2 linked regions of the Schizosaccharomyces pombe genome follow. Changing the gene in region 1 together with any one later gene gives a genetic interaction. Each region holds a gene or a part of one and is shown in the gene's direction. Other genes may lie near its edges.

Region 1 (8,640 bases):
TTTTATCATGCTTGGGATCAAAAGAGAAACAAAATTGACTTCAAGTTTATTTCAAGGTATATAGTGGCCACTCTATGGTGGATGTTTGTAACCCAATGGTTTATAGGACCTGGCCTGATTGATAGAACCTTTGCATTATCTGGCGGAAGTTGCAAAAACTTTGATGGTGATTCATCTGTGTTCATTCCACTTACCGCCTCCACTTGCAAGGGATTAAACGGATCTTGGTCTGGTGGTCATGATCTCTCGGGCCATGTTTTCTTGTTAACTCACTCGAGCTTGTTTATGTTGTCTGAAAACTTTTCATTTATTTTGAATAATGGAATAAAAGCTACATCTACTAAAGTACTTTTTGGTCTTCTTGGACTTTGGTGGTGGATGTTATTTGTTACTGCATCCTTTTACCATACTACTTTTGAAAAATGTACCGGGTTTTTCTCTGGTATTTTAGAATGGTCTATTGTTTACGTGTTCTCTTCAAGAATGCCAGCGGTCGCTGATCTTTTAGGATCCTCCGATTACTAGCCTTTACCACCATTTGTCCTTAAACTATGCTTCTAAATGATTGTTTTATATAGTGCAACACTTGTGACATAGCATATCCTTCCTTCTCTAAACTTATTTGTTTATGACCCTTTTATCTCTCTGTCGATTATTACGATAGTGCCATCATGATAAAAAAAATCTTTTCATTATTTACCAAAACTAAGTATATTTTAGAGAGTATTTTACTTGGGAAAAATACTCGTCAATTGTTTTGAGTGAAAATGCGTTCTTCCATATATATTTGATAGCCGTAAAGTTTCTTCTTTATCAAGCTTGCATATTATAGTGACTATTATTTATTCCTTTTTTTTTTTTGATACAAATATGCATAAATGTTTTTTATTATGGTATCTAAGTTAGTAATGTAAATCAACTCGCTAATATTATCCATTCAGCAAATTATAATGTATTTTAATTTGTCAACAATATACTTGTAATACGTTTAGTAAATCTATAGTAATTAATAGAGACAATGCTAAGAAGTTGGTTGATTTCATTACGGTCGGTGCCCATAATAAATGACTAATGCTTCGGAAGGTTGTCACTACCCACAACACACAAGTCCAAGGCATCTATATTATCCTTCCTTTAGGCTATTTTTTGTTGACAGGATTAGTAACGGGTTTATTGAGCTGAAAAAAAAGTGACAACTGTGTTCTTATTCCTTTTAATTACCATTTTTGCTGACGTGAAACATTGGAATTTCTTCAATTTCATAACGCTTTTTGGAGGTTGCCCAAATCCATGTCCGGAGGTAATAATAAATTTTTATTTTAATACAACCTTATAACTTTTCGTCTCTATTCGTTTTGGTCTCAATTACTGAATTGAACGATTAATTACTGCTTTCTTGAATTTTTTAATTCTAGAATCCACCTTTACTCGTCATATACGAAGGATATTTTTCTTAAAACAATCATTTACGTTTATCTCTTTCGATATTGAGGGTTTTATATATTATACTTGCCCTTACACGCTCAATTCAAGTTATTGTACCCTGCGACTTATTTCCATATAATATTCCTTATGCGAAATCCCTTTTTGACGTTTAGGGCACCTACTAGGAAAACAGGAGATTACCTGGTTTCTAAATTCGTAAAGAAGGATAATTTTTCTTCTTTGCGTTTGGCAAGGGCTTATACTTTTTCTACACGTTCCACAGCTGTTTCACAATTTTCTCTTCTCTCACTTTCTCAGAGATCTTTTCAGTCCCTTAAAATAAATAAAGGAATACCGGAAAAACATAAAATCCCTCTCATTTCATCTAAACAATTTAGCGTAACCTCAAAAAGATCGCAAAATGGGTCTTCAGGATCCAATTCTGATGCTAATGGTAGGAAAAATGGCCAGAAAAATGATGATTCAAAAAAGAAGGGATTGAATGGCAATGATCCGAAAAAAGTTTTTGAAATAGCCTTAAATGGCAACACTATTTTAGGTGGAATTTTAGTTGCCTATATCCTTTACAATGTTCTCTCGCCTAATGCAAATATGCAAGAAATTACTTGGCAAGATTTTCGACAACAGTTTTTAGACAAGGGTTTAGTTGAACGGCTAGTTGTTGTTAACCGCAATATGGTTAGAGTTATTTTGAGAGGCGGTGTAGCTTCAGGTTCAGGGCAGTACTATTTTTCAATTGGTTCCATCGACTCTTTCGATCGAAAACTAGAGGATGCACAACGTCAACTGGGTATTCCACCTTCTGAATTTGTCCCTGTCGCTTATCATGACGAAGTCTCTGTTCTTGCTACTTTATTGTCTTTTGCTCCCACCTTACTGATCATTGGAAGTGTCATTTATTTATCGCGACGGGCTTCGGGTGCCGCAGGAGGTGGTCAAGGTGGCATTTTTGGAATTGGTAAGAGCCGAGCGAAGATGTTTAATCATGAAACTGATATCAAAATAAAATTTGCTGATGTCGCTGGCGTTGACGAGGCTAAAGAAGAGATTATGGAATTCGTCAAATTTTTAAAAAATCCCAAGTTTTATGAAAGGTTGGGGGCTAAAATTCCTCGTGGTGCCATTCTTTCTGGTCCTCCTGGTACCGGTAAAACTCTTCTTGCTAAAGCCACCGCTGGTGAAGCTAACGTCCCTTTTTTAAGTGTGTCAGGTTCTGAGTTTCTTGAAATGTTTGTTGGTGTTGGACCTTCCCGCGTAAGAGATCTTTTTGCTACTGCTCGCAAGAACGCTCCTTGTATTATTTTCATAGATGAAATTGATGCAATTGGTAAAGCAAGAGGACGTGGAGGACAATTTGGTTCCAATGATGAACGCGAAAGCACTCTTAATCAGCTATTAGTTGAAATGGACGGTTTTACGTCTAGCGAACATATCGTCGTATTCGCTGGTACTAATCGACCAGACGTATTGGACCCGGCACTTCTACGTCCTGGTCGATTCGATCGTCAAATTACGATTGATCGTCCTGATATTGGCGGTCGTGAACAAATATTTAAGGTCCACCTTAAGCATATTAAGGCAGCCGATAACATCGACTTAATTGCCAAGCGTCTTGCCGTCCTAACTTCTGGTTTTACAGGAGCTGATATAATGAATGTATGTAATGAAGGAGCGTTAATTGCAGCACGATCAAATAGTAATGAAGTCCAAATGGTACATTTTGAGCAAGCTATTGAAAGAGTCACGGCAGGTTTGGAAAAGAAGAGTAGGGTACTAAGTCCTGAAGAAAAAAACACCGTTGCTCATCATGAAGCTGGACATGCGGTAGCTGGTTGGTTTATGGAGTACGTCGATCCACTATTGAAGGTCTCAATCATTCCTAGAGCTCAAGCCCTTGGCTATGCTAGTTATTTACCCAAAGATCAGTATCTGATGAGTCGAGGGCAGATTTTAGATCAAATGGGAATGGCTTTGGCTGGGCGTGTTTCTGAAGAAATATTTTTTGGACCAGAAAAGATTACTTCGGGAGCTTCCGATGATTTTCAAAAAGTAACGCGCATGGCTCAAGCGTATGTGACCCAATATGGTATGTCTCCGACTGTTGGTACTATAGCTTATCCCATCGACACTCGGGAAACTGTTCAAAAACCATTTTCTGAGGCTACAGCTCAAATGATTGATGAAGAAATTCGAAAGCTTGTAAAGCATGCATACGAAAGAACTAAGAAACTTTTGCTAGAACATAAGCAAGGCTTAGAAAATATTGCTCAACGTCTATTACAGAAAGAAGTCATCACTTATAACGAAGTTGAGACGATTCTTGGACCAAGGCCATATGCATACAAACATTTAAATATTTCTGAACTTATGCGTCAGTCTGAGTATAAAAATGATCACGATCCTCGAAATCCACCAATCCCCCCATCTCCTCAACAACCTTCTGCCTAATTTGTCAATTTACTGAATTTAAATAAAGCGTTATGAATGAAAATAGTTACTTTCATGGATCTCATGATCAAAGTATTTGTCAATTGAATATCATATAGCTATTTTATCTATTTTTTCTATTTAATATTACAGAAGCTAGATAAATATACTTAACATCAATTCTTCTGAACTTTAAAAGGTTAATAGATTATTATTTTCTAACACAAAATAGCTAATATCGTAACAAACAAACTTGTGTTTAGTTTCGACCTTTAGACCAGCATGTCATAGGGAGCGTGATACTCAACAGTTACACGTTTGACACTAACCACTGTACTTTCTTACAAGTCCATATTTTATGATGGATCTGATTATTTCAACAATTTTATTAAGCTTATTTATTCATTTCTTCGATAAATTTGCAAAAAAAAGGACTATTGATGGGGTAATTTAACATATATACTTGTTGTAAAGAAAACTAATAATGTGAAAGGCTTATCGAATTTACGTTAGTGTTTCTAATAATAAAGATTTAAAGAAGAACAAAGAAATTTTAGAGCAGCTGCTTACTGTTAAGAAAGAGCTAAACGCTACTAGCAGTCAAGATCAGTTTGCTAAATGGGCCCGTCTGAATAGAAAGTATGAACAACTCAGTCAAGAGTGGGAAAAACAATCAGCCAATGTTAAAATTTTCCAAGATACTTTCAAGCGGGTTTTAAGCCTTTTTCTTTGGATTTTAACCCGTGGATTCCGGTTTTATATTCAATTCAAAGAGTCCAAAACACCTGTCTTTTTCCTCCCTGCATTCTTGCTTCCTTCTTGGGCTCTATGGGTGCTATCTCTTCCACGATCAATCTACGGTATGTTGTTTTTAATGAAAATTCTGAAAATCTTTTTTTTATTTTTATTTTCATTTATCACAATGGCAGCTGAAATACTAACATGGCATGTAGGATCGGTTAGCTTAACAGTTTGGAATTTTGCGGTTCAAAAAACTATTTCCGGGATATTTTGATCTCCAAATCATCAAAGACGGTGACTAATTTTAATATTTTATCATTTAGTTTAATTAACTAAAGGGAAAAAGATGCCATATGTATTTTCAGTAAAGTCATTTTATAAATGCGTTTTCTACTTCCTTTTCTCATAAGAAAGAATGCCATGGAAAGCATAGTTTACCATGCACGATTAATATTATGTTATTCCTTCACAAATTGTACACTTTATGTGCTCTACACTGGTTTTCATCTAAATTGTCATCGGATTTCTTATTTCTATGCCTACTAATTCATTTGCTTAATTTGACGCTTTCATATTTCTGATGCTGTTTATACCGAAAGTTTGAAATGGCAAATAGGTTATTTATTACACAGGACATCTAGAAAGGGAACGATGCAGGGTTTTGGAAAACATCATAAAGTTACTACAATGTTAATTAAGAAGGGCACAAAATTATGATTAAAATTTAAGCTGAACTTCGATCTTACCTTTTCCTTTTATGCAACATTTCCAACCGTTGTATGTTGTTTTTTTAATCTTCAAAATTTTCAGTACAAAGATAAATTGTTTCTTGCATTGATTTTTCGAGTAAATTAAGTTCATGATAAAAAATTTGTAAGACTAAACGAGACCTATTCTCTCGTTTAAGAGTCGGATCGCACAATAGAGTCTTATAAGCTTCAGCAGTCAACCCACCATTTTTGAAACGACTAATGCGCTTTTGACACAGCATCTGTAGAAATTCTATAGCCTTACAATAAAAAGAAAAACCAGAGAGTTGAGCAACAACCTTTTCTTTTTCTCCCTCCTTATGTGCTATAAACACAGCCCAGATTTCATTAAAATACTTTGTAAGCATTACTATATTCATATCGCACTTTTGGAATTTGATTTTGTAAATGCAAAAAAATAAATATAAGTAAAGCCCGTAACTGGGACCATGATCTGTTATTATATAAAGATCCATAGGTTGTCTTATCATTACTGAACGTAAAGTCTCAGACTTGTCATTTGCGTATGTAGTTGGGGTGACCAGCAACTCCTGGGTGTTGATTATTCTTTTTTTATGAATCCACTCCATATAAAAATTTCTGTTAGTTTCATAAGCAATCATTGTCATGTCGACGCGCCAAACTTTGCAAGCGGTATCAATAAATCCATACTGCGTGAACAATTCATCAGCGGCAAAGTTTCCGAAGGAGTTGAATATTTCGGACATCTTTCGTATATACTGAAAAGAAATAAATTCTATTTTGATATCGCCTTTATGATCATTTGACTCCTGACAATGTAGCGAAGCAATAGCTGGACCAGACTTGTGATTAAAAATATCGAAAAAGGGTATTAAAGATAAACCGTAGTAGCTGTTAACGTAAAAACACCTGCTTTGGACGAGAACACAAGTCTCTAAATACTGATTCCATTTTGGACAAAGCTGTTTGAGATCAGCATGTTTATAAAAGTAAGGGCGGACCAATTGATCATATTGATTTTTGTATACTCTTAAATTTGTATTTATTACATCAAGCATTGAGGTTCCCTCAAGACACGTTTTATCTTTCCATAATAATGGGGAATCAGGCATACAAGTTTCGTCCAAGGTGTTTAAATAAGCGTTCCACGGACTATCTGTTATATTTTCCAATATTACAGTTATAACGAGCATGACCAGCCCAACCTGATCTCTATTGTCAAAGTTAATATCATCAGACCGATTAGATTCATTAAAATGTGTATACAACGAATCTCCAAATCTTGAGTTGCGAGGACTCAGAATGATCCTTCTAGGAATCTTTGCTAAAACTTCAAGTTCATCTATATCAAAGGTAGAAAATATACCATCTCCTGCGACCCCACTTGAAGCGATATACAGTTTGGGTGAAATGTAAGCTTCGTGTTTTGCTAGCCATTCAAGTAAGGGTTGGTACTTCAAAAATTGCTTGGAATTGTTCATGCTTTATTTAACATGTTTTAATAAGTAGTTAATAATATTTTTTATGCGCTTTCCGGCAATTTTGAACATTTGAAAGTTAATATCTTTTCAAAGCAAATTTGATTTTAAGCGTAGGTAAATACTCCAACCTTCTGATGTACACATTGATTTTTTGAGTAAAACTTGAACGTATCTTAGAACAGAAGATAATTAATTTCTCAAATTATGTTTAATAAAGCACATTAGTCTGTTCAAACTTGATTTTTAATCCGCTACGCGTTTTCAACCTGTCCGATACAGAAGGGCAATGCAGGATGGATCGTAAATATAAAAACTACTATAAGAATATGATTGAATACGATTGAAAAGGGGTAATAAACAAACGCTTTAAATATAAAAAGCTTCTTCATGGTGATAATTTTACCAAGAGTTGTACAGACTTTTCGCAATAATGCTTTTTCATACAAATAAATTATTTCATTTATAAAACATTCATAATTAAACAGTAGATACTTCCATCAGTAATGGAGAGATGTAAAAAACTAAAAATAATATATGACATAGTTTGCACATTACTTCCATTCACTATCCGTCGTAAATTGTCATGTCAAATTTTAGAAGGAAAAGATACACATAGACTGAGTATGCTTAATAACTAATAAATTCGAAGAAATTTACATCGACTCATATGTCCCATTTTTTACGGTTCGCTTGAGGAACTAGCATAATATGCGGTTGCTTGTTCTGTTCTTTTCTTTAATTTCACATTCTCAATACAAGATCTTTCATAAGCCTTGCATTCTTTCTTCAGCGTTTGCTCAAGAATCTCCTCATACTCAGTCTTTAGATCAGTGATACTTATTTTATTGTGCAGGACTTTTTCCACACAATTAGACAAGCGATAAAACAGTTCAGCTTGATAAGCCTCATTGTCATATTTCTCACTTAATAATTTCAAAGCCATGTCCTCAATTTTAGCATTAAACTCCTCTTGTTCTGCTACCATCAAAGCCATTTTTTCGTAAGCTTTAAGCAAGTGCTCAAATCGCTCACGCATTAATTCCTCGCCGTAAGCAGAAGAATCGGACATCGTTATGCTCATAATCGGTTTTTTTTTCTCTTTCACAAACAATTCTAAGTTTGGTGTGGAAAGATACTCACAGTCAAAGAGGGATTCACACCGCTGCCAAAACACAGCAAATGTAAACAAACAAGAAGAATTCTATTCAGTTAAACAATATCAATTGAATAGAAGAAAATATACAATAGTTTAAAAAGTAAACAAAAATATAAAAAAAAATTGATAATTTAAAGTGGGGATATCTGCTTCAATCGCAATCTATAATGTTCTGAATAAGCAGTAAATGCAGCGTTTATGCAGTTTTGCCTCATCTCCTGCGAAGCTGGCAAAGGTAAATATCTCACTGACTTGTTAGACAACGTACAAACCAAGTCATGCTCAGATACCCGCAAACCACTAATTTGTTTCACGGGTACAGCGATTTTAACAATATAATTACTTCCGGTTATAATAAAATGCTTCGTACTGATATATAGAATGTCGACATTTTGAATTTCAGCATGGTAAAGATATTCATCAAAGGCATATTTGCCGTCATCCAAACAACTTAACATATATTTTCCGAGCGACTCGTAGGGTTTAAATGGTACAATTAGACCTCCAAATTCAACATATCTTGGCACACGTACTTTATCAATTTCAGGATTAGTACGAACATCGGTTGAGTTACGAATGCCTTCACTCACGTTGCTGGTCATATCAAGCAATCCTATAGCAGGTTTGGTAGCTAAACCAAGCATACCCTTGCCAAATC
Region 2 (3,686 bases), on another chromosome or scaffold:
ATGAGATTCGCGAACAATTACTTTCTCTAATATTCGTCTTCTTGATTCTAATGAGTACTTTACCAAAGACTTCCCATTAAGATACAAAATATCGAACACAACGTAATAAGGGCTGTAGGATGAATGAGAGGAAGAATCTTCAAAAATGCTTCTTAAACTTCCGTATGGGATCACTGTTTCCAACACTGGATCCCATGTAACCATTTCTCCATCAAGAATAATTTGTGAAATACGTTTGTCAAATGCTCCAATGATGTATTGTGTCAGCCTAGATTGTTCATCGAAATAACTAGAGCCATAGGCATAAGTGTACGACCTGGCATTTCGACTATAGAATTGGAATTTTCCTGAACTCATGTGTAATTGAATACGCTCCCCGTCTAGCTTTTCTTCAATCCAAAACGGTTTATTTCCCATGGCTTCCAGCGTTTGATGGAGATCCTTTTTTTTGAAATTGGCTAGCTGAGGCTGGAAGCAACTAAAGACTTCCACATCTGTTTCAGTTTCATCAAGAGACCGACTAGGATCATAGAGCTCCCAACAAATTCTCTTTAAGGAGCTACACAGTCGATATAATCGAGCTGCATCAGGATGGAACACAGAAAGTATGAATTTTTCCGATGTTCCGTATTTTCGAACTAAAGAAATAAAAAAGTTAGGTCATAAATAAAGAAATATCATTTCCAACCAACCTTTCAGTAAAATGGGAATTAGCCATCGAAGCTCAAGAGGACTCAAGGATCTATAAAATTGCTCCAAAATATTAACTCGGGTATCCCTTATTAAGGTTAGATACGGTAAAAAATTTAGAACATACTCAGAAGAAGCATCTGCTAATTGATCCAGCAGGGCGTTGACATCACCAACTGTAAAGGCACCAGGAAAGGTCCTGTATGCCCTTCTTTGTAAAATATCTAAATTTTTTTCAGTTAAAATATGATCAGGATCAATTGGAATACAAAAACTATGATGAACACACCCTGCAACATGGTAGAAAAATCTCCAGTATGTTTGGACTCGGATCCTCTCCAATTTTTCAAAGATTTTGCATCTTCAGAAGTAGGACTCAAATGCATAGCCTTGTTAATTAGTCACTGATGTTGCAACTTAATTACTTACTCGAATAAACAGTTTTCCAAGCCCAAATTCCTTGAACCCATATGATCCTCTTTCACGATCCAACTAGAAAATTAGCAATTAGAAATTCAAGACACCGATTAAGACACTTTATGTAATGCGATTTAGTGGTCTAACAATTTTAAGTCGTACATCAGGAAGCACTCCATTAGTTAGTATAAGGAATAAAATACAAATATTAAATTACTTAGTCGAAGTAATGGATAAAGATCTGGTCCTACATGTTGTCGCCATTTATTAAAGTAATCCAAGAGGATTTTGCGCTTTAATTCATAAGGGTCAAGGTTTGATGTTTTGGATTTCCTAGTCTTTCCAATTCTTGATAACGGTTCCAATAATGTTGTAACAAAATCATAGAATTCAAGGGTGCTTGAATGATTTTGAGGTTTCGTAAATACCGTCTCTTTGGCTTCGTCCATATCTTAGGTTTTGGCTTGAAGCAATCGTTTTATAATACAGTTTATGATCAATAATATTTCTCAAATAAATAACCGATAAGAAATAAACATCAATTTAGTCTCATTATCGTGGTAGTGTCAAGTGTGTAGTACGAACACTTCTAATTATCATACATGAAAGCCTGTTCTCTGCAACGATTCGGTGGACAGTATGTTTATGGAGCAGAGAGCTGTTTTCTAATAAGTTAGGTAAAATGACTGTTCTGAATACTACAGATAAGCGTAAAGCTGATGATACCGTTAATAAACTTGACGGGAAATTAAAGCAGCCACGTTTGGATAATTTTTTTAAGACAAACACCTCATCGCCTGCTTTAAAGGATACTCAGGTACTTGATAATAAAGAGAACAACTCTGTCTCAAAGTTCAATAAAGAAAAATGGGCAGAAAATCTTACTCCTGCTCAAAGAAAGCTGTTACAGTAAGTATTGCTTACAATGTAGGCTAGAAAATTGGAAAAGGTTGTTAACCTATTTAGACTAGAAATTGATACTTTGGAGAGTTCTTGGTTTGATGCGTTAAAAGATGAATTTTTAAAGCCATATTTTTTGAATCTGAAAGAGTTTTTGATGAAGGAATGGCAAAGCCAACGTGTATTCCCGCCGAAAGAAGATATCTACTCATGGTCACATCATACTCCACTTCATAAAACCAAGGTCATTCTCTTAGGACAAGATCCTTACCATAACATTGGTCAAGCCCATGGTCTTTGCTTTTCCGTACGTCCAGGAATTCCATGTCCACCAAGTTTGGTCAACATATATAAAGCCATCAAGATCGATTATCCTGATTTTGTTATTCCGAAAACAGGGTACGTTAAAATTATTTAGTCTTTATATTTTTTCTTTCTAAGATTTGGCTTTTTGCTAATGAAGCAGGTATTTAGTTCCTTGGGCTGACCAAGGCATTTTAATGCTCAACGCTAGTTTAACTGTAAGAGCCCATCAAGCTGCTTCTCATTCTGGCAAGGGTTGGGAAACTTTCACTTCTGCTGTCCTGCAAGTTGCGTTGAATCGGAATCGCAAGGGTCTTGTAATTTTAGCATGGGGAACTCCAGCAGCTAAGCGACTTCAAGGTCTTCCTTTGAAAGCACACTATGTACTTAGAAGTGTCCATCCTAGCCCTCTCTCTGCACATCGTGGCTTTTTTGAATGCCACCATTTCAAGAAAACCAATGAGTGGCTCGAAGAGCAGTATGGACCTGAAAAATGCATCAATTGGAGCGCTGTTTCTGAACAAAAAGCAAAAATAAAGTCTAGCGAGTTGGAATCCTCTTCAACTGAGTAGAAAAAGTCAGAAAATAATTGCTCGTTTACTGGATGCTAATAGGTCTAATCAAGCTTTTTATTTTCTTTTGTCATGCTTGCTTTATTATACCACTTGCATGCTTATCTTTATTCTACCTACAATTGGACTTGCTTAATGTGTGTTATTTTTCTATGTCTTTCTTTTCGCAGAGGATTTATTTTTTTTTTGTCTTAACATTTAAATCATTCATTTTAAAGTTTAATATTTATGTCAAATCCATCGTAAACGGCACATTTATTAAAGACTTAATGTAATCAGTGGTAATTTGATTCGTTAGAATAACTCAGTAATTTTCTGGCTTCGATTGAAGTTCGGACAGCAGTTTGGATGCTTCTTAGTTTCCCAATACGTCCTTTTTCTTTTGCCCTGAGATAGTCCAATTCTCTTTTTAATACTTCTGTATCCTGCCTTGCCTTGGCCACCATTTCGTTTGCTTCAGTGAACAGTGAAACCGATAAATCTTCCATTTCTTTCTGACTTTGCTCAAGCAATCCTTCCAACTCTTCTCTTCGTTGAACCTCTCTCGAAAGTTGTTCCTTCAAATGGGTTATTGCTAAAGTATTGGCATTGTTTAATTGTTTATTCGTGCTTTCTTTTAAAGCATTTTCATTCGAATTTTCCTTGTTAGAGATAGAGCTAAAAAGCTTTGAAATTTCTACATGTTAGAAAAAATTGTTTTATATTGTATTGTCATGTTGTCCCTTACGAGAATTGCTCATCATTGTTTCAATTTTTTTTCCTTTCCTATAAAATACTAATTGCTAACTTTTTTTTCAAAAGTAC

Evidence for each region. A genetic interaction does not mean that the proteins touch.
Region 2: mutations in get1 (region 1) and ung1 together harm fitness more than expected from each alone (negative genetic interaction), as found in Schizosaccharomyces pombe (2 studies listed by BioGRID).

Annotation. Positions count from the first base shown.
Region 1 is NC_003423.3:4,314,716-4,323,355, forward strand, and holds get1 (GET complex subunit Get1), read left to right. Parts: upstream 1-4,193; 5' UTR 4,194-4,231; coding exon 4,232-4,318; intron 4,319-4,366; coding exon 4,367-4,733; exon of another isoform or gene 4,734-4,826; coding exon 4,827-4,888; 3' UTR 4,889-5,404; downstream 5,405-8,640. Other genes in the region: fit1 (CoA pyrophosphatase (FIT) family lipid storage protein), read left to right, coding at 1-525; m-AAA protease Yta12, read left to right, coding at 1,573-3,894; SPOM_SPBC16C6.01C (lysine methyltransferase), read right to left, coding at 5,405-6,826; protein Spo2, read right to left, coding at 7,506-7,907; vps1302 (lipid transfer protein), read right to left, coding at 8,114-8,640.
Region 2 is NC_003421.2:601,248-604,933, forward strand, and holds ung1 (uracil DNA N-glycosylase Ung1), read left to right. Parts: upstream 1-1,726; 5' UTR 1,727-1,789; coding exon 1,790-2,016; intron 2,017-2,073; coding exon 2,074-2,406; intron 2,407-2,473; coding exon 2,474-2,882; 3' UTR 2,883-3,157; downstream 3,158-3,686. Other genes in the region: DNA repair ligase Lig4, read right to left, coding at 1-638, 693-778, 818-914, 980-1,079, 1,120-1,182, 1,270-1,280, 1,325-1,556; protein Spo13, read right to left, coding at 3,158-3,558, 3,610-3,625. UniProt on the Schizosaccharomyces pombe protein: Excises uracil residues from the DNA which can arise as a result of misincorporation of dUMP residues by DNA polymerase or due to deamination of cytosine.